4 linked regions of the Callithrix jacchus genome follow. The protein of the gene in region 3 interacts with the protein of the main gene of each other region in a biochemical or structural test. Links are inferred from orthologs where the notes say so. Each region holds a gene or a part of one and is shown on either strand. Other genes may lie near its edges.

Region 1 (5,254 bases), on a different chromosome or scaffold from region 3:
AGTAATTAGCTTAGAATGATGGGAGCAATCACCAGAAAAAACAGAAAACAGGGGACTAGGGATGAGGTGGTAGACTTTTACTTTAAAAACAGAGCTGCCGGGCTCACACCTGTAATCCCAGCACTTTGGGAAGCGGGCGGATCATGAGGTCAGGAGCTCAAGACCAGCCAGGCCAACATGGTGAAACCTCATCTCTACAAAAAAATACAGAAAAAACATTAGCTGGGCATGGTGGCAGGGACTTGGCTTACATGCAGTATGTCCTATGGAAGTAAAGTTTTCAAATACCTCCATCACCTTCTGTAACTCATATTAATAAAGTAAAAGCCAGGTACATAAAACAAGAACCAAGTATATAAACATATTGGGTCCCCAGATAAACCAAAAGCAGTTTTTAAAAATATTCCCCACCATACCTTTTAAAACAACTTTTCCATTACCCTACAGTAGGAAGTAACCACATTCAAATGAGCTAGGCTATAAAAAAGTAAAAGGGGCTACAAGCTTTATTAAAAGTAAGTAAATGCAATAGTAGTATGTACAGATGGCACATGGTGCCAATTTTATTTGTAAATATAGTACTCCAACTCAAGTTTACAAGTTACACCTTTGCCACAGCCTTGGCTAAATCTTGAACTAGTGCAGAATTCAGCTGTGCTAGAGTGCTGATCTTAGCATGTTTCGACGTAGCATACTTGTTCTTGATAGTCTGGAAGACAAAAGCATTAAAGAGGGGGAAAAAAAGTCACAAGATCCAATGATACAGGTATTCATTTAAAATACTGACTCATTCAAAATAAACCAGGCATTTGCAGGCATGATGTTTGCATTCTTTTCACTTTTCAACATCTTACACTGCCACTAGATTGACTCACCATGTGCTTTGTAAGCCCTTGATTTACCATGACTATATTCTTAGCCAGGTGCTGCATAACTGGAAGAAGGGATTCTTCAGTGTATGACAGGTAATGCTGTAGAGTTGGTGTCTAAGACAACAAAAGTTAATGTTAAAAATGCTCAATCAGTAATGATTTTCATAAAATTTCTAGATGTTAGATGTTATGCAGGAGTGGGGAAGGGATGAGTACTGCATAACTAATTATTAATATAATTGAAATTTAAGACAAAGCCTAAGACTCTTTAATAGGTGCTCTCATGCTTCCATAGGAACCTGTGCTCACACCTAATTTCATTATTGTAATTGCTGACTTGCCCCCTGCTAAAACTAGACTCCACTTCCTTGAGGCCAACTTTGTCATAGTTCCATTCCTAAGATAGGAGAAGCATTTGTTGAATGAATGAATGAATATGAACTACTAGTATGTTATTTGAGCTTCAAGTTTCTCCATCTGTAAGAAGTTATTGTACCTTTATCAAAGGGAATAAAGTTGAAATTAGGCAAAGAAATGGAAACACTTGGCTGGTTGCAATGGCTCATGCCTATAATTCCACCACTTTGGGAGGTGGAGGTGGGCAGATCACTTGAGCCCAGCCCAAGACCAGCCTAGGTAAGATAGGAGACCTTGTCTCTACAAAAATTACAAAGCTCAGCCTCCAGGGTAGCTGGGACTATAGGCATGTGCCTGTGTGTATATATATATATATGTTTTTAAATATTTTTTGTAAAGATGAGGATTTGCTATGTTGCCCAGGCTGGTGGGCGACACTTTTGTAGTTCATAAGTGTGATGATTGGGTGTTCACGTGAACGTGTAAAATATGCTACCCTCAAACCTTGTTACAATGTGGGCATATTACCCATCTGACATGAAAAAAATTAAAACTAGCTAGGGGAGGGTGAGGTTGCAGTGGGCCAGCATCGCACCACTGCACTCCAGCCTGTGTGACAGAACAAGACCTTGTCTTAAAAACAAAAAGAAGTAGAAACATTCTAAGACATCTTTTTAAACTACTCCTTCAGTAGATCCCATATTTATGAACCACTTGAAGTGGATTTTAGTAACAAAAGTCCTGTATTCAGTCAAATACTCTTTACAATTTAAAAGTTTAGGAGTTTTGTGGGACAGAGCTTACCCATTCACCATCATCCAGAATTTTCAGTGCTAAGCAAAAAGCTCCTGCTGCAATTTGAGAAGGAGGAAAGTGCACCATATCATAGTCCAACATAGTTAGTTCCATCAGGTATTTGGCCAAAGTATGTTGGTCAACATCAGCCTGAAACAAAACCCATCACTGAGCTTCTTTCAGAAAAGTTTCCTTTGGAAAGGATACCCATATGTATCTTTAACTACAAATGTTTGTCTACAAACTCAAATGCAAGTGCCCATGGAAATCCCTAATATTAACATGCAGCCCAACTAGAAATAAAGAACATCTTTATCCCTTCCCCATGTAGTTAGGTATAATACAACTTAATTGAATTCGACTTGCTTGGTCAGCAGCAGTGTTCCCTAATGTACCCATACCAAAAGGTTTCTCAAGAAACCTTTACCTCTCCAATCTTAGATGCTCTCCGAAGGAAGTGCAAAGGTAGAGGCCGACCCAGACCAAAGTTTAAAGCTCTTAGAATCTTCATTTCCATCTGTCTGATCTGGTGCTTAGTGTAAGTGTTGTCAGTCACAAAAGCAAAGTCACCAATTTCTGGAGGGTACATTTCTTCATATTTGCTGGCAATAAACATGGCAGTGACACCAACCAGTTGCAGCATCTTCTTGGGCACACAATTATTCTGCAATGGGAATTTTAACAGGATGAATAAAATACGTGAAAAGGAGACACAGAGCTATGATGGAGAAGAGGTAGACAGACAGTCATTCTTCCATAGCAAAATCTTAATAACATCAAATCCTCCAAGAAAGATCTTAGCTGAAAGTCATTTTCTTATGACAGCTAGAATCCCAACAGGGAAAACTTTTACTGAAATGCTCACCTGCATGAACCGATCAATAATGGAGACAGTCATGTACATGGTCTCCTGCAACAACCTGAATTTCATCTGGACCTGTACTAGCCAGTCAATTAGGATGGCTCTCATGTTTCCAGTGACTTCCCGACCCAGTAGGTATTTCGGTCTGACTGCTTGCTCTTCCTGTAAAAGAAAATGCTGATTATTCTTAGAAACATGATTCCATGTAATATATTAAAGATCAGTTACTTCCTACAGTAGCACTGGGGCATTTAGAATATCAGTTTTTTTTTTTTTTAAGATGAAGTTTTACTCTTGTTGCTCAGGCTGGAGTGCAATGGTGCGATCTTGGCTCACTGCAACTTTCACCTCCCAGGTTCAAGCAATTCTCCTGCCTCAGCCTCCTGAGTGCATGTGCCACCATGCCTGGCTAATGCTTTTTTTTTGGAGTTTTAGTAGAGACAGGGTTCTACCATGTTGGCTAGGCTGGTTTCAAACTCCTGGCCTCAGGTGATCCACCTGCCTCAGCCTCCCAAAGTGCTGAGATTACAGGTGTGAGCCAACGCGCCCAGCCTATGTAAGTTCTTAATTCAGTTATTCATAGAGTCACCACAAACACCATCACCAAGAAAGAAAGCAAACATTAAGGCCAGCATGGTGGCTTATACCTGTAATCTCAGCACTTTGGGAGGCTGAAGTGGGCAGATTGCTTGAGGCCAGAAGTTTGAGACCAGCCTGGCCAACATGGCAAAACCCTATCTCTTCTAAAAATACAAAAATTAGCTGGGCATGGTTGCTCGCGCCTGTAGTCCCAGCTACTCAGGAGGCTGAGGCATGAGAATCGCTTGAACCCAGGAGGTGGAAGCTACAGGGAGCTGAGATTGCACCACTGTACTCCAGCCTGGGTGACAGAGCAAGACTGCCTCCAAAACCACAAAAAACAAACAAACAAAAAAAGACATTAGATAGGACAGTGTGACAGCTTTTTTATATTGTCAGGTCTTACAATATTCAATTCACCACAGCTGCTGCTGGCCCACTTCCTTCCAAATAAAGATACTATACTGTCATCTCAGATCTTTTCACTTAGGCCTTTAAACCTAGAGCCTGAGCTTTATGTAGAGAAAATATCAGTACCTCCCAGAGAAGCTGGAACCCATGTACTACAATATTTCTGCCTGCTCCAGGGCTAAACCCCAACAGCAACATAGCTAAGAACTGTGGGGACAAGAGTGACTTTATTTTAAATGCTAATTCCATGTGACTTCTGCCTGTTCACTAAGTTTGGCCTTTCCTCCAAAACAGCCCTTGATACTATCATATACATTATAGGCTGTGATGTCAGCAGCATTCCCATAGCCACTCACACATTCCTTCTAGAGCATGTATACTTTCCCCAAGAAAACGTATACATACCCAAGCCCTGGGTATGAGGAGTTACAGTGCAGAGATCTACATCTTTCAGCCACACGAGACCATACTTCTGTCTGTAAATTTCTCCTAATCAGTCACCCAATACCAACAAACTCCATTTATCTGCCTTATTCCTTGGTTTCTAGGCTCCTTTGACATTTGGGGGGAGTTGCTCTGCATATATGGCCTTTCACAGAACAAGAATGAAGCATCGAGAAACAGCACATTTACTAAATTTAATCCTCCAAAGTTAGAACACAACTTTAAAAAGTACAAGACGTGAGAAGAAACCCAAAGTAGAAGGCTGCTCCTGAAAGAACTCTTCTTGCAGAAGAATCCTATAGAAAAAGAAGAGGCCCAAAAGGAGGGCTGGGAGCAGTGGCTCATGCCTGTAATCCCAGCACTTTGGGAGGCCAAGGTGGTTGGATCACCTGAGGTCGGGAGTTTGAGACCACCCTGACCAACATGGAGAAATCCCATTTCTACTAAAAATACAAAATTAGAGGGGTGTGGTGGTGCATGCCAGTAATCCCAGCTACTTGGGAGGCTGACACAGGAGAATTGCTTGAACCCAGGTGGCAGAGGTTGCAGTGAGCAGAGATCACACCACTGCACTCCAGCCTGGGGAGGAATAGTGAAGCTCTGTCTCAAACAAAGAACCTACAAAAAATGGAGAGGCTCAAAAGGAGCAGGAAAGAGATGAATATGTCAATGATGACATAAGACAATGCATAAAAACAACTGCGGGCTGGGTATGGTGGCTCATGCCTGTAATCCCAGCACTTTGGGAGGCTAAGGTGGGTGGGGCGGGGAGGATATCACCTGAGGTCAGGAGTTTGAGTCCAGCCTGGCCAACATAGTGAAACCCTATCTCTACTAAAAATACAAAAATTAGCCGGGTGTTGTGGTGGGCACCTGTAATCCCAGCTGCTCGGGAGGCTGAAGCATGAGAATCACTTGACCTAGGAGGCGGAGG
Region 2 (5,846 bases), on a different chromosome or scaffold from region 3:
GTGAGTCTTTTAAGCAGATTCATTGATCACACCAGAAAACAGAAGTAACTGGATATAAGCAATGCATCATTTAAAAAGCTATTTCTTCAGAAACATCCAGAGCTGTGTCTGAGCTATTCACTACAATCATTAACCAGCCATAAAAACAGACACCTCCCTTTTGATTTTCCAAATAAAGAGGGAAGGTTAAACATTCTCTTTAACAATGTTAAACATCCACAGTTCCTAACAAAGCAGAATAGCACTAAACTCTAGGCCAAAAATCCAATTATTTCAGAAAAGACCTTTTAATGCCAGGATTAGGTTACAATACTCATCTCTAGCACCACTGCAATATAGGTTCAGTATGCTAGGTTTTATTTTGCCTATTAGACATTTGATAAATTTCTGTAAAGATAATATACACAACTGGAGGTTACATACATTTAGTTTTCTAAGAAGCAATCTGTTTTTCTTTCTAGGAACCCAGTTTCATTCTTTTTAAATTAAGTTCTTTCCTTTTATTCTATTTAGAGCAGTGGTTCTCAACTGGTGGTGATTTTGCCCCACAGGGGACATTTGGAGCCCTATGTAGTTGTAATGAATTGGAAGAAGGGTACTAGTGGCATCTGGTGGAACAGAGGCCAGGGATGCTCAACATCTTACAATGCCCAGGATAGGCAACCTCAACAAAGACTACTAGCTCAAATGTCAACAGTGCTAAAGTTGAGAAATTCTCAGCTAGACATTTCTCATATTTATATTCTTCAATTTTCCCAGTAGGCTGAAGTTTATTAATGTTATGTTAGATATCATTCAACATCTACAAAATGTATTAATGAATCAGGTGACACAAAAATGGTCATGATGGCGATGATTCCAAGAGCAAACAGAACAAATGAAATACCTACTGGTAGGAGAATAGTTATAAGGCTTCCAAGCAAGACTATTACACCTAATATTACAGTTGACCCTTCAGCAACAAGGGTTTGAATTTTGTGGACCCACTTATACACGACTTTTTTTCCCCAACCAAATGCAAATTAAAAAAATACAGTATTCTTGGGATGCAAAATCCACTTATAGAGAGGGTCAACTTTTTGTATACTCGGGTTCCACAGGACCAACTTTGGAACTTGGGTATGCTTGGATTTTGGGATGTGTGGGAGTCCTGGAACCATTCTTTCATTTGCTGAATGGTTACTGTATAACTACACAATATGGACCAATCTGTATTAAATATTTTTAATGAGGAAAAAAGTTCTTGATTATATCCAGAATGATAGCCTTTTTATGAAGTTCGAAAACTAAAAATAAACATTGTTTAAGTATACATTCATAGGGGATAAGCCTATTCTAAAAAGGCAAGGGAAAATAAAACTCAGGATAGCTACACTGAACATGAGTGACAAGAAGAAGGCTTAAAGGATAGGGGAGGAACACGTGTTGATGTAGAGCCATTGTCTGTTTCAGTTTTGGGGTTGGGCAATGGGTTCACAGGTGTTTGTTACATTACTTAACACAAATAAGGTAAAAAACGATCATGATTTGAACAATGGTAACAGTTTATTATGCTAAGGATTATAATGCATCTGATTTAAAAAAGAATTACGTTGAACAAAAAGGCTGTTGAAAAATGAGTATCAAAAGTGAGTATCAATAATAGCAAATAGTAACAGTAAAGATAATAGTAAAAACAAGTAGTAAATAATTACTGAAAACTTATTTTGTGCTGTTTCACTGTTCTAAGCACTTTCTGTGGATTAACTCATTTAATCCTCAACTAACTCATGCACTAGATACTATTAACCTCATCTTGCAGCTAAGGAAACTGAGGCTAACTTCCCTATGTCCCTAACTAGGAAGTGGAAGAGAAAGGATTTAAACTCAGGTTTAAATCCGGCTCCACAGCAGATTCTTCATCACTTCATTATGTTTCTTCTCCAACTGCAAATATGGAACAGTAGGAACATATTAAGCCCTGAGCTATCCTATCTTCTGCTTTTGTAAATGTCTTTGGTCAGAATTTCAGACTGGCTCCAACTTAAGATGTTAGAAAAGGCTTAATCTGCCTTTATGAAACGCAAATTTGCATAACGTTTAGGTTGACTCTGACTGTACTGATTTCCAACCTTAAGCAAGTTACTCAACCTTTCTGTGCCTTGTTTTCTTATCTGCAAAAAGGGCAAAGGGTTGTTACAAGTAATAAGTTATTATATGTAAAAATACACAGAACAGTCCTAGCACATAATACGCAAATGCTGGCCATTATGGCTATAGTCTCTATAGACTCATCATTTCTGGTATTGTATTTCTCGTTAAGCGCAGCACTCCACCAAAGCAGTTCTTCACTGCATCTTCGAAGAGAATGTTTTCAGCTGTGCCTTCACTCACACACTAGTTTAGCATCTCCATAACCCTAACAACTAGAATTTAGGACAGCTGTCCCCTTCAGAGGCTACACTTTTCCTTTACCTGGTACTCCTAGAATGCATGACCCAATATGAAGAATGCCTATACCCATGGCCCTTTAATCAAGTTAATCAAGCCCTCTTAGAATGTCTCACCTGTCCGATTTATAACACTGCCAGAGTAATTTTTCTAAAAACTTTAGTTATCACAATGGCACTTCTTTCCTGCCTGATTCCCCTTATTGCTACTGTAGTGGTTACGGAACTTTCGAAATCGTCGTAAAGTATGAGAGAACGCACACACTTTCTTCCCCTCCTCTCTCAGTAGCGCTTTTATGATTAGCTCCTCTTACTTTCCCATTTCCTTGGCTGCAGCCAAGCCGAACGCTCCGCTATGCCCAAACATCTCCTACACTTTTACGTCTCAGAATCTTACTTCTCTGCCTTCAAAACTCATTTTCAAAGATTTCTCTTACAAGTCTTAACACCCCCTGGGACTTATTAAATCCTCCTTCAGTGTCTCCACAGCACTTTCTACACACAAGTATTATAATCCCAAACTAAAAAGTCACAGTAGAATGCATTTTAGCTTGTGCCTCTCCCCGCTAGGCCGGGGGCTCTAAAAGCAGGAGGGGCAGACGGGTTGACCCCGAATCCGCAGCGCCCCACACAATGTCTGGTATGTAATGGGTTCCCAATCAATCTGGCAGGGTGAGTGAATGAACCGTTGGTTGGCTTAATACGTTTCCCCAGGAAATGCGCCAAGAGGAGCAGGGCCGAAGACGCAGAGGGGCTACTTTCCTGGTCCAAACCCTACAGAGCACAAAAACAGCGACCCTGGGCAGGGCCCCCGCAACAAACCGAAACCCCCGGACACACAGCAAGCTTAATAGGCACTGGCAAAATGAAATGCGCTGCCTCCTGGTGCCCTGGCTGTCACCCAAAGCGCCCCGCGTAGCCCGCACACCCTTTCTGCCAGTACCTGCGGCCCCTCCCCGCCGGGCCTGCGCTTCCCGCCACCGCGTACCATTCTGCAGTTGCAGCGCCACCAGAATGCCCGGATCCGCGACTGCTTCCGGGCGCCACCAACTGCTTCCGGGTTCAAAAGCCTCCAATCCGAATCCCAGCACCGCCCGGGCGCGCCAATTTTAAGGAAAGGTTCCGCCCATGCCCCGCCCCCTGAGACCCGGCGCTTGGCGCATTGAGGCCCCGCCCGCTCCCGGGCAGGGCGTGGTGAAGGTGCGTCGTCCGTCAGCGTGGTCCGCATCTAGGCTTTCTGAAGTATATTCCAGGGTCGCTCCAGAGACCCCCAGGCTACTAAATCTGAATCCGTTCGTGTGGTCCAACCTTCCTCTTCAGGTGTCTAGTAGAGACAGGGTTGGATGTATGCGGCTGCCGTAAATACAGCGCCTTCCTTGTTTTTTCTTCATTTGTATTTACTTAAAATATTAATCCTTTTCTCCTTTTCCTCCATCCCTCTCCCTCCCCAACTGTACAGTTATTGGTTTTCACTAATTCATTTCTGATTATCTCCGAGAAGGAGATAAATGTCTGTGTGTGTGTCTCTCTGTACCGTAGTCTTCTTGTTAGGATTTGGACTGTTTTTTCTCTACACCTCTGATATGCAAAATGTAGTCTCTGAACCAGCAACCTCAGCATCGTGAGGGAATTCGTTAAAAACGCCAAATCTCAGGGCCTACCCAGACTTACTGAATCAGTATCTGCGTTGCAACAAGATCCCCTGGTAATTCCTATGCACATCAAAATTTGGAAGGCACAGCTCTCAACTGATGTCCTTGGGTCTCCTTCACATCTATCCTAGAAAGGTTTTATTCCTTATTCCTGAGATGAGTTCTCTATTTCCTGAATCTGTGTCTTCCTTTTTCTTGATTATATACCCTCATGTTGTGGAACATATCCTCCAGTAGTTCCTTGAGGGAGTTTGCTGCAGGTCTTTTTTCCCGCAGAGTGTGCATGTCTAGAACTGTTTTTATTCTGGCTGAGCACAGAATTCTAGGTTGAAAATAACTTTCACTCGGAATATTGGAGGGCTTGTTCCACAATATCTTAGCTTTCAGAATTGTTGAGAAACTCTACATTATGGTATTTCTTTCTGCCACACAGGTCACTAAATTTCTCGATATGTAACTCACTTTCGTTTCTGTTTTGTCACAAGAAGCTTTAGGATCTTCTTTTTATTCCCAGTGTTCTAAGATATAATCGAGTGTTTTGGTTATGGGTCTTTTCTCATTCCTATTGATCAGTTTTTCAGTCCTGAAACACATATTCTTCAGTTGTGGGAATTCTCCTGGGAGATTTGATCATTTCTCCCCCCCCACCATTGTATCTTTTATTTTTTGAAATTTGTTATTTAGATTGTGGATCTTCTTGGCTGATAGTTTTTCTTACCTGTCTGTCCTACTTTCTATCTCTTTATCTTTTTGTTCTATTTTCTCTGTGACTTTTCCAACTTAATTGGACAAATGACTATCAGATTATTTTTTCTTTTATCATACTGTCATTACTAAGTGCCCTTTTTATTTTCTGTTCTTTTATAGCATTACATTATTTTTTCATGAATATAGCTGCTTTTATCTCTGAAGATGTAAATTATTGGGTTTTTAAAATGCTTTCTACAAAACTCTGCATTGACCTTGATTCTTTCGAGTCTTTTTTGGTTGGTTGGTTATGTTTTGGTCTCTGTTATTTCTGCTAGAGACATTCTTCATCTTGTGTGGTGTTTTTTGCCGTCAATTTATATGTAAAAGTGATACTCTAAAAAGGTGCTTTGGGGAAATAGGCAAGGCTTGTTCACTGCTGGACAACGTGTAAGATGAGGGGGCAAGGACCAGCTGTTTATTTTGTTCTAGAGAGTAATATTCTAATTACTTGCTTTGAGAATATACAGCCTTCGTGGGGTGCCCAATGCGGGAAGGAGGCTGGGAGTCTTAATTTCATCAGATGCTCTGTGTTAGTCGAGGTTCTCCAGAGAAACAGAACGAATAGATATCTGTATCTGTACCTATATCTGTATCTATCTATCTATTAGCTCACATGATTATGGGGGTCAAAAAGCCCTACAATCTGCTGTCTGCAAGTTGAAGACCCAGAAAGCCCATGTTGTAGTTTGTAGCCCGGATAACTGTGAAGCTGGTGGTGTAGATTCCAGTCTGAGGCAGGAAAAAAATCAAAGATTCAGTTCAAGAAGTCTAGCAGAGAGAAAGTGAATCCTCCCTTCCTCTACCATTTTGTTTTATTCAGACCCTGAATGGGTAAGATGATGCCCACCCACATTGGTGAGGGTGATTTCTTTTACTCAGTGCCCTCACAGACACTCAGAAATACTGTTTAACCAGATATCTGGGCATCCTGTGGTCCAGTCAAGTTGACACATATTGTCTGTCAACCAAGGGGAGAGAGGATGATGTTACTCTTATATCACAAGGAATATACACC
Region 3 (4,306 bases):
CTTGTGAAGATATCCTCTTCCTTAGTTCTCAATTTGCGTTGTTTGGTAAGAGGCCTATAGCAATATCTGTGTCCCTGTGGAGAAATTTATAACACAGCAAAACGACTAGATAATAAATAGTTTAGAGGCCATATCTAGTTTCTGTCACACATTCTTTTAAGTTTTTAGTTAGTTTTTTTGTTTTTTGAGACAGGATCTTGCTTCATCTCCCAGGCTTGAGTGCAATGGTGCGATCACTGCTCACTGCAGCCTTCATACCTTGAATTCAAGTGATCCTCCCACCTCCACCTGCCCGGCAGCTAAGACTACAGGGATGCGCCACCACACCCGGCAACGGTTTTTGTATTTTTACTAGAGATGGGGTTTCACGATGTTGCCCAGGCTGGTCTGGAACTCCTGAGCTCAAGCAACCCACCTATCCAGGTCTCCCCAAGTGCTGGGATTACAGGCATCAACCACCATGTGTGACCTTTTTAAAGACACTTCTTAGCTTGAGGGCCATACGGGAAGAAGCCGTTGCCCAGATTTGGCCATCAGGAGCTGGTAGAGAGAAGGCGGACTGTGTTGGCTTCTTTAAATTTTCTGGCACAGCATTTCCAGGGTAAGAAATAAGCGGCTGTTTATTTCATTAGAGATCCAAATCATTATCTGATTTTTTTTTTTAATCATTCAGGCATCCTGTCCATTCCCTTCCACCTCCCATAAATAGCAAACTTCACGTTCATTTCCACCTCACTGTATTTGCCTCTGTTGTTTTCCAGAACCTCTATAATCTGAAGTCTCTCAATATCCAATACAACCTTTTGACAGTCAATAGCCAGATAGTCTTCTAAAATATTAGTCTGTCTGCACTTAAACACACAAACATTCCCATACTGATGTATCCTAGCTGCTTTTAGAAGAGAGTACTCCTGATGATGCAGCTTGTTAAATGTTGATGGAGATTCAGGGGGCGCAGCGAAAACATTTTGAAAACCTGACAGAGACCCGGGTCACCAGTTTGTGCATCTGGGGGTCACTGGGAGCTCTTGAATAATTTTCCACAGATTTGAATTTTTTCTAAACTGAATTATCTATACTATTTTTCTTTCCCATTTTCATGGATTTTCCCAGGAACTAAACAGTGAAAACACTTTAATCAGAAAACATATCACATGTAAGTTTGAATTTGAATCAGTGCATTGGATTGTTAAAGCGGTATGTGTTACCCGTGCTACAACGCAGTCACTCTGACAGTGGAACTCTTCCAAGCTGCACAATCCCATTCTGTAAAGACATCAGCACATGGAAACTCCTGAGACAGAATCAGTTTGTAAAGTCAAGTCTTATGTGGTTGAGTTGGGGCTGTAGGCAACCAGCTGCCCTGTGCCTGTGTTACTTGCTACAGTTAGAAACAAAGTTCATGCCCAAACCAAGAAACACACTGTCTTTTCTCTCGCAAAAATCAAAGCCTGAACTCACGGGCAAAGTTTTAAAAGTAAGTTTCTCCGGATTCTTAGCAGAAATTTATCATGACACCCAACTAACCAACATGATGCCCTCGGTGCAATGGAGTCTTAGAGAAAGCTGAAGGGATTTTTTAAAAATATCTTTCACCAATTGCACGAGATTCGTGAAAACACAAACAAGTATGTGAACCTGGAGGCTGTTTTCCTCCTTTGGAGCTTCAAAGTGCCAAATTCTGTATCGTTATTTCAAGCATTTAATCAAATTTAGAGAACTAACAAACACAATTTGGGAGTCCAACCGCGAGCTGCGGCGGCCGGAGGGCGGTGGATTGGACGCTCCACCAATCACAGGGCAGCTCCGGCTTATATAAGCCCTGGGCCACGAGCATAGTAGCAATGCAAAACTTGCTCTTTGGATTTCGAGCTTAGTCTCTTCTAGCAGTTTCTTGTAGCCATGTCGGAAACCGCTCCCGCCGAGACGGCCACCCCAGCGCCGGTGGAGAAGTCCCCCGCTAAGAAGAAGACCACCAAGAAAGCGGCCGGCGCGGCCAAGCGCAAAGCGACCGGGCCCCCAGTCTCAGAGCTCATCACCAAGGCCGTGGCCGCTTCTAAGGAGCGCAATGGCCTTTCTTTGGCCGCTCTTAAAAAGGCCTTAGCGGCGGGTGGCTACGACGTGGAGAAGAACAACAGCCGCATCAAACTTGGTCTCAAGAGCCTGGTGAGCAAGGGCACCCTGGTGCAGACCAAGGGCACCGGTGCTTCCGGCTCCTTCAAGCTCAACAAGAAGGCGGCCTCCGGGGAAGCCAAGCCCAAGGCTAAAAAGGCGGGTGCCGCCAAAGCTAAGAAGCCCGCGGGGGCCACCCCTAAGAAGCCCAAGAAGGCTGCGGGAGCGAAAAAGGCAGTGAAGAAGACTCCGAAGAAGGCGAAGAAGCCCGCGGCGGCTGGAGTCAAAAAAGTGGCGAAGAGCCCCAAGAAAGCCAAGGCCGCCGCCAAGCCGAAAAAGGCAACGAAGAGTCCTGCCAAGCCCAAGGCTGTTAAGCCGAAGGCAGCAAAGCCCAAAGCCGCTAAGCCGAAAGCAGCAAAACCTAAAGCTGCAAAGGCCAAGAAGGCGGCTGCCAAAAAGAAGTAGGAAGCTGGCATGTGAAAACCGCAACCAAGCCCCAAAGGCTCTTTTCAGAGCCACTTACAGATCTCTAAAAAATTGCTGTACACCAAGTGACTTTGCCTTCTCACCCCGCCTTATGCTGAGGTGTGTGGCTAATAAACACGAGCAGAGATTCCTGGCGTTCGAATTATCTGGGGCAGTTTTTCTCCCCTTAGCTTAATTAATGGGGTCATGGTAGGCAAGCAGGAGCCCGGGGTGATGTCTGGACCTTCATGCAATTTCCCAAAGCAGTCAGTCATCAAAGCATGGCTTCCAGCTAGTGCTTCTGTCTGCAGAGTTCGTATCATGCTTTCTAGCCTGGCTACAGAAGTTTAAGCTTAAAAAGCCCGCTCTATAGTCTGATTGGTCAGTTTTTATTCCATCTGTTTTCCCCGCGTTTAAGCCGTTTAGGCGTCAGCCGCTTCGGCATTAAAAAATGTGTTCCCCACGCACACCGCTAATGGAGGAGGTTGGTGGAAGTAGCAAGTTTCAAGCTACATGCCGATTTGGGTATTTTAAAAATTAAAACATGTCACCCAGGCTGGCGCGTAGTGCCGTGGTTTCGACTCACTGCAGCCTCAACCTCCCGGGCTCAAGCGAACCCTCCCACTTCAGCCCTAGGACTACAGGCGTGCACCACTACGGCGGCGAATCTTTGTCGAGACGGGGTTCCGCTAGGCTTCCCAGGCCGATCTCGAATTCGAGTTCAGTGATTCTCCTGCCTCTACTTCCAGAAGTGTAGGGATTGCAGGCGAGTCACTGCGCCTCGCCCTGGACTTTATTGTTGGCTCGCGTACATGTAACATTGGATGAATAAACAGAGAATATAAAACGACTTATTCACATTTGACTTAAACCAGTGGCCCAGCACTTCCGCAGAAATAGTAGGTGGCTCTGAAAAGAGCCGTTGTACTGGAAAGTGATTCATGGACACATTATTTGCCCTTAGCCTTGTGGTGGCTCTCGGTCTTCTTGGGCAGCAGCACGGCCTGGATGTTGGGCAGGACGCCGCCCTGCGCGATGGTGACCTTGCCCAGCAGCTTGTTGAGCTCCTCGTCGTTGCGGATGGCCAGCTGCAGGTGGCGCGGGATGATGCGGGTCTTCTTGTTGTCGCGGGCCGCGTTGCCCGCCAGCTCCAGGATCTCGGCCGTCAGGTACTCCAGCACCGCCGCCAGGTAGACCGGCGCTCCGGCCCCGACCCGCTCGGCGTAGTTGCCCTTGCGGAGCAGGCGGTGCACGCGGCCCACGGGGAACTGAAGCCCGGCCCGGGAGGAGCGGGTCTTGGCCTTGGCGCGGGCTTTGCCGCCCTGCTTGCCGCGTCCGGACATGATTAAGAAACAATTTGCAAAGGGTGAAGAACAGTTTAGAGAAAGTCGCCAGAGCTCGGCTACTTATAGTCAATACTGGGCGCGAAAATAAAGCTGTGCGATTGGCTCAAATTACGACTGTATTTAAGCCAATGAAATCTCTGATGTTAAGTACACTTCTTTGGATTGGACAAAGGTGCATTAGACGTCATCTAGAAGCGCCACCAGTCCTTCACAGTAATCGCCTCGTTTCCATAGGAATTGGTGAATTGAAGGTTACACTACGCAAAACTCTTTTTTATTTTTATTTATTTATTTATTGAGACAGGTTCTATCTGTAGCCCAGACTGGAGACCTCCGCCTCCTGGGTTTCAGTGATTCTCCTGCCTCAGCCTTCTGAGTAGCTG
Region 4 (5,839 bases), on a different chromosome or scaffold from region 3:
CACATCAAAGCCTCAGGGATATAGAAAGAAGCTTGTCTTCGTAAAATGTGCCAGGACCTCTGTCTTAGATAAAAGACGACTATGAGAAAAGAAATTATTTCATTATACTACTATGTTCCATCTGATTTCTGCTTTTGAGAAATAAACAACCATGGCTTGAGATGCTTTTAGTGTTTCATGGAGAATTGGGACTATTTCCCCGACATGCCCTGCTCCTCAGTTCCTCATTGCTTCTTCCCTTTTTGCCTCGTTGGACTCGAGGGGCGACCGTGAATGGTGAAATTTCTGACCAGGTAGAATACCAGGCAGGTGCAGGCTCCTGAAGCACCAGTAAGACTGACTCAAAAGATTGTAAATGGGTCAGCCAAGAGCATGCGCCACTGATGGCCAGTCAGGAGCGCTTCCATTTGCTAAAATATAAAAGGCATTCCTATCATTAAGCATCACAATTAGACAATCTCAAAGAAAAAAATGTTAGCTCTATTTGGCCTACGTGGTATGCTCTAAGGAAGTATTTTAGAAAAGTTTTTTTTTTTTTTCTTTTAACAAAAATTTATTGACGGATCAAACGTGTTCTCTTTCTTGGTGTCTTTAGCTCGTAAAGTCGTTTTGTGAACTTCCTGAATCTGGCAATGAAATGAAATGGATGAGAAATGCTGAGAGATGATTTTCCTCAAGTATTTCAGCGGCCTCCAGACAGACCTGATAAATATTCAGAGAGTGATTAGCTGGTGCATCCCCACCTGCGTCCTTTGCATAGCCAGGCCCGCTACCATTTCACAGGCAGTTTTACTTGGTAATTTACAAATGTACTGGCTGCATTCTGCACCTGACAGTAGCGCAATAATTAGCTTGGGATGCAAAATGATTTCTAAATTAAGGTCCTGGACTTGTAAAATCAAGAAAGCCTGATAATCAACATCGTTGCTCTGGTGGCCAATGAATAACGGGATAAATGCCTAGGACAAGTCCCTTAACCATCCCACGTGGTGATACATGTCCGACATACAAATTAAAAATCTCTACTACACGCAGGTGAAATACCGTATAGGTCAAGAAGAGAAGACAGGGGAAAGGGTCAGTGCTTAATTATTTAAAATCGCTCTTTTTCTCCTGCAGAAAGGTCTAGAGGCTGGGTCTTTTAGGGCAAACGCTATGAGAGGGACATTTTGGCCAGGGGAGACCTCCAGCTGCTACAGGCTGCTCAAGCAGGGGCGTCGTGCCCTGGAGACACCGGGGGTCCTGAGGATGCGGTAGGGGCTCCCTGCTGCGTGTGCTCACGGGGAAAGGGGTGAGCGCTGGGCGGGAGGCCCGGGGCAGGTGCTGCGCGTGGAGCCCACTCCGGGACGCCGGCTCCTCTCGGCCGGGCACCGGCAGCGCAGAACTCCAAGCCCAGAGCCAAGACAGAGAGAGAGCGGGAGTGGGAGGAGGAAGGCGGGGAGAGGAGGAGGCCGGGCGGCAGGAGCGGAAGAAGAGGAGGCGAGCAGAGGCGGAGGAGGGCAAGAGGGAGGAGAGCCGGGCGCAGGAAGGGGAGGACGAGGAGGAAAGAGAAAGGCGGCGGAGGAGCGCGGACCCGCCACTCCCGGCCTCCTCCCCCGCATCCCCACCTCGGGCCATCCCTCCCCGGGCCGCCGCCGCTTCCTCTGCCCAGTCTTCCCAGCGCCGCGAGGCGCTTGCAGCCTCCTCCCCACTCGACCCGGCCCGCGCGGCGCACTCCCCCCTCGCGCGCCCCCGCCACTCTCGCCCGCGCGGCCTCGCACTCGGGGCATGCGCGGTGGGCGGTGCCGCTCCGGGCCGCCTCTACCGCCGCGAGTAGGAAGCGCGAGCGCCGGGCGCCGGGCTGTCAGTGAGCGTGGGGCCAGCGAGCGAGCCAGCGGCTCCGGCTCCGGCTCTGGCTCCGGCTCCTGCTCCGGCTCCCACTCCCTCTCCGCGCCGCACCGGCCCGACTCTCCCCGGTCCCCGCCGCGCCCCCTCGCCGCCGCGACCTCGGCCCCCGGCCCGCGCCCCCCACCCAGGGTCGCCCCGGGCCCGCGCCCCTCCCCCGCCGCCCCCGCCCCCCCCCGGCCCTCCCCGGCCGCTGCTCCCCGGCGGAGGCAAGAGGTGGTTGGGGGGACCATGGCTGACGTTTTCCCGGCCAACGACTCCACGGCGTCTCAGGACGTGGCCAACCGCTTCGCCCGCAAAGGGGCGCTGAGGCAGAAGAACGTGCACGAGGTGAAGGACCACAAATTCATCGCGCGCTTCTTCAAGCAGCCCACCTTCTGCAGCCACTGCACCGACTTCATCTGGTAGGTGCCCGGCCGGGCGCCCCTGCCCGCTGCTCCCCGCCTCCGGGTCCCGGCCCCGGGCGCTCGGGCGCGTCTGCTCCGGGGCTGGCTCACTCCGAGAACTTGGAGCCGGCGAGAGTCCGAACTCTCGCCCGGAGTGACACGCGCGCCTGGCCCTGACACCCGCGGGCAGGACTCCTGGGACGTCGCCACCCCGCCACACACCCCCTGGCGCGGGACGGAGGCTGGCCCCCTGCGCTGGCGGCGGGGATCGCTCCCCGGGCCGCGTCCCTCACCACCTCCCCATGCTCGCCCACTCGCACGCACCCAGCAGAGCGGCCGCTTGCAGGGATGGGAGCCCAGGAGACAGGGGAGGGGGACAGGCCAAAAGGGGCAGAGGTTCCTGGAGAAACGCGCCCGGGAGTAATGGGGGAGCGGCAGCGATCGCGCCGCGTGCGGTCCAAGTTGCTGGCGAGCCAGGCTGGGCGCGTTCGGGGGAGGGGGTGTGTTTGTGCTTCCAATAGGGCTGGACTGCGCTGGAATCTTGGGCCCCTGCCTACTGTAGGCTGCATCTACTGGGCACGGAGAGACTTTGACTTTTCTAAGTGAGCAGAGAGAGAACAAACTGTTGAAAGCTTGCAGTGGGGGAGGGGAAGTTCTAGCAGGCAAATGGCAGAAGGGCAGAGGAACTCATTTAAAATACACCCTGTTGTCCAGGCGCGGTGGCTCACGCCTGTAATCCCATCACGTTGGGAGGCAGAAGTGGGCGGATCATCTGAGGTCAGTAGTTCGAGACCAGGTTGGCTAGCATGACGAAACCCCATCTTTACTAAAAATACAAAATTATCTGGGCGTGGTGGCACACGCCTGTAATCTCAGCTACTCCGGAGGCTGAGGCGGGAGAATTGCTTGAACCCGGGAATCGGAGGCTGCAGTGAGCTGAGATCGGGCCACTGTACTCCAGCCTGGGTGAGACAGAGCAAGACTCTGTCTCAAAAAAATAAAACAGACCCTGTCAACACGAGATTAGACCTGTAGCCCTGTGGACGAGGACAGAGCTCTTAAGAAATATAATGTCAGGGCCAGAGGTGTCAGAGATCGAGTAACTTCCAATGAATGCAGGCATTCTTAACTCGAGTGGGCCATGCTGAGGGCTTATGGAGAACCCATAGGTAGAAGGGCTTTAGGGGTTTCTGAACCCTGTGGAACTGGGTGAAATTGTGTTTGTGAATCTTTTTCTTTCCTGGTGAGAGAATTACAGCTTTTATCTGATTTCTCAAAAGGTCTGTGACCATTCTTCCCAGATCCCCATCTCCCCACAAAAGTTTAGAAAGCTAGAACTAAAGGAGCTCTAGGTCCTGTAGATAAGACATACCAGTAGTTTGGTTTTTCTCTTAGGTTGCCCGATGTCCTGACTCTTCTACCTCTTCTTTGTGATGTAGGAAAAGTTACCGACAAGACAGAGCTATGGCAAGGGCTTCTAAGCTCCCTCCCCTTCTAGGCTGTAGGGAGCTGCACAGGGTGACAGCCACGGAGTGAATCTTGCCACCAGCCAGCTGTGTGGCACAGGTATCTTGGGCCACTAGGGTGAACATAGTGTGGATGGCTCTGTCTGAATCCATCAAATCTGGGGAAAAACATCCCAAAGGGCAAGTCCCATGATCGTGGTGCTAATATGGTGTTTAATTTTTCCTTTTCTTTTTAGACATCTGCTCCAAAGTACACTTTTCATAAAAGCACAACCACCTCTATGAGTGATTTCCACTGTCTAGTCAGCATATGAAGCGATTGTGCTGAAAGGAGTAGGTAATCGTAGATAAGGCTATTTAAAATAAAAATTTCAGAGCATCAAGGCAAAGAGAATCTTGCATTTGATTAAGAGGAGGTGGTCAGCTGTGAGAGTCCATTAAAAGGGAACAGACTGCTGGTGACTTTTGCAGGAAGTGGGAGAGTTGGACACGGGACTTGCAGCGTACCTAGGCTAGCTAATGTCTTTCAGCTATTAGTTTTCCTTGAAGGATCAGCCCCTGGTGAGCTGAATAGGTGCTCAGGTCACAGCAGTATTGTGAAGTGGAAAAGAAAGGCCTCCCTGAGTATCCCTGCAGCACTCTTCATTTCTTTGTAAACCAGTTGGAAGTCCCAGGAAAACATCCTCGGGGATTGTCTTTTTCAGTTTGCTTTCATTATTGCTTCTATGGGGTCCTTGACTTTCAAGTTCATTTCAATATTGAATCACTGATAGTTTTAAGCTAAATGTTTAGAGTTAGCTGTGGTTTTTGGTGGGGAGATGACTAAGTTAATTTTAAAAGTATGTGAAGTACTTTGTACACTTAAAATTCTATTCGAAGCAAGAGATTATGACTTTCAACCTTCTGAGGAAATTTTGATGCAGTTCATTCTAATGGAACACTAGTTGGCAATTGCATGTCCATGTCGGGGTTCTCTGCTTACAGAGTAAATTCTCTAAAGTAATTTACAAGAACAAAACAGTCTCTGCATGTGCTTTGAATGCTGTTAGTTTTCAGTAGAAATTAGATCATGGTAATCTCAAATTCAAACAGTAGGGTGATATTTTCTAAGATCTGGTTCCTTAAGCCAAAATTAAATGTTAAAAGCGATGCCGTTTGGCAATTTCTGGATGTGTAGTATTTTAAACAAATGCATAATAAGTAAGCCACTTGGTTGTCTTTAGAGAGAAAAAAGCAATTTTCATTTGATCTTCAGGAACAAAATTAAGCTATTTCCTTTTTAAATTTTAACCATAAACTCTTTTGTTACTTGAACATTGTATTGTAGCCAACAACTCTGAATATTCAGTCATGTTCTTGTCTTGAAGTTTTAGTATCAATAACTTAGTATAAAAAATTGGAAAGAAGCTTGATACATTGAAATTGTTCAGTGATCCTTTACAGGCAAGATAGTTTTCCCCCCAAGGTTGAATTTACACAGTAATCTGACTAGATATTTAGGTATTTTTTCCTATTAAATAATTACGTTTCACATACAGACCTTTAGCAGTGGAATACTTGGTCACATAACTTGTTTAAAACATGCTATCCAACACAAAATATGTTAAGATATTTTGTTCTCGTTTTTGTTTTTCAGGGGGTTTGGGAAACAAGGCTTCCAGTGCCAAGGTAAGCTGCCCCTTATGATTTTATTTTCAAGCACAACTTGAAATAAGCATTCCAAACAAGAACAGTATTTCCAGTCTTCTTTTCTTTCCAATTAAAAAAAAAATGTTATTTAGATAATATTTTTGAAATATGAGGGGGCTGTAAATTTGGGCCTTAAAAAAATAATTTGGGCCTACTAATCTGCATATAGAGCTGCTTTTTCTCATTGGGGGAAAAAAAGCCTTCCTGTAATTTTATTTTTTGCTGAGAACATTCTTGTCAGAAGCTGCTGTCTTTGTGTGGGTGTTGAGAAAAAAATGGAATCACTTTGTATTCAAGTGGCTTTTCTTCCTTGTTCTTCCTCTTTGTTTTTATATTCTTCGTTGCTTTTACTTATGTGATGGGTTGGACTCACTGCAACTAATTTTAGGCCATATTTCATTCTAGTAACGGTTT

Evidence for each region.
Region 1: of the proteins of H1-5 (region 3) and CCNB1, one has a biochemical effect on the other in vitro, tested with the Homo sapiens proteins (2 studies listed by BioGRID). The link is inferred for Callithrix jacchus from reciprocal best matches to the Homo sapiens genes H1-5 and CCNB1.
Region 2: the proteins of H1-5 (region 3) and HPF1 form a complex in vitro, tested with the Homo sapiens proteins (2 studies listed by BioGRID). The link is inferred for Callithrix jacchus from reciprocal best matches to the Homo sapiens genes H1-5 and HPF1.
Region 4: of the proteins of H1-5 (region 3) and PRKCA, one has a biochemical effect on the other in vitro, tested with the Homo sapiens proteins (2 studies listed by BioGRID). The link is inferred for Callithrix jacchus from reciprocal best matches to the Homo sapiens genes H1-5 and PRKCA.

The regions. Positions count from the first base shown.
Region 1 is NC_133503.1:140,367,999-140,373,252, forward strand, and holds the end of CCNB1 (G2/mitotic-specific cyclin-B1), read right to left. Parts: intron 3,049-5,254; coding exon 2,890-3,048; intron 2,689-2,889; coding exon 2,452-2,688; intron 2,175-2,451; coding exon 2,034-2,174; intron 1,768-2,033; exon of another isoform or gene 1,664-1,767; intron 987-1,663; coding exon 876-986; intron 710-875; coding exon 608-709; coding exon of another isoform or gene 602-607; exon of another isoform or gene 535-601; intron 195-534; coding exon 189-194; 3' UTR 59-188; downstream 1-58. UniProt on the Homo sapiens protein: Essential for the control of the cell cycle at the G2/M (mitosis) transition.
Region 2 is NC_133502.1:121,469,485-121,475,330, reverse strand, and holds the start of HPF1 (histone PARylation factor 1), read right to left. Parts: upstream 3,462-5,846; 5' UTR 3,421-3,461; coding exon 3,373-3,420; intron 1-3,372. UniProt on the Homo sapiens protein: Cofactor for serine ADP-ribosylation that confers serine specificity on PARP1 and PARP2 and plays a key role in DNA damage response.
Region 3 is NC_133505.1:3,157,652-3,161,957, forward strand, and holds H1-5 (histone H1.5), read left to right. Parts: upstream 1-1,843; 5' UTR 1,844-1,902; coding exon 1,903-2,577; 3' UTR 2,578-2,725; downstream 2,726-4,306. Other genes in the region: histone H2A type 1, read right to left, coding at 3,528-3,920. UniProt on the Homo sapiens protein: Histone H1 protein binds to linker DNA between nucleosomes forming the macromolecular structure known as the chromatin fiber. Histones H1 are necessary for the condensation of nucleosome chains into higher-order structured fibers.
Region 4 is NC_133506.1:122,973,005-122,978,843, reverse strand, and holds the start of PRKCA (protein kinase C alpha type), read left to right. Parts: upstream 1-1,842; 5' UTR 1,843-2,115; coding exon 2,116-2,288; intron 2,289-5,372; coding exon 5,373-5,404; intron 5,405-5,839. UniProt on the Homo sapiens protein: Calcium-activated, phospholipid- and diacylglycerol (DAG)-dependent serine/threonine-protein kinase that is involved in positive and negative regulation of cell proliferation, apoptosis, differentiation, migration and adhesion, tumorigenesis, cardiac hypertrophy, angiogenesis, platelet function and inflammation, by directly phosphorylating targets such as RAF1, BCL2, CSPG4, TNNT2/CTNT, or activating signaling cascade involving MAPK1/3 (ERK1/2) and RAP1GAP.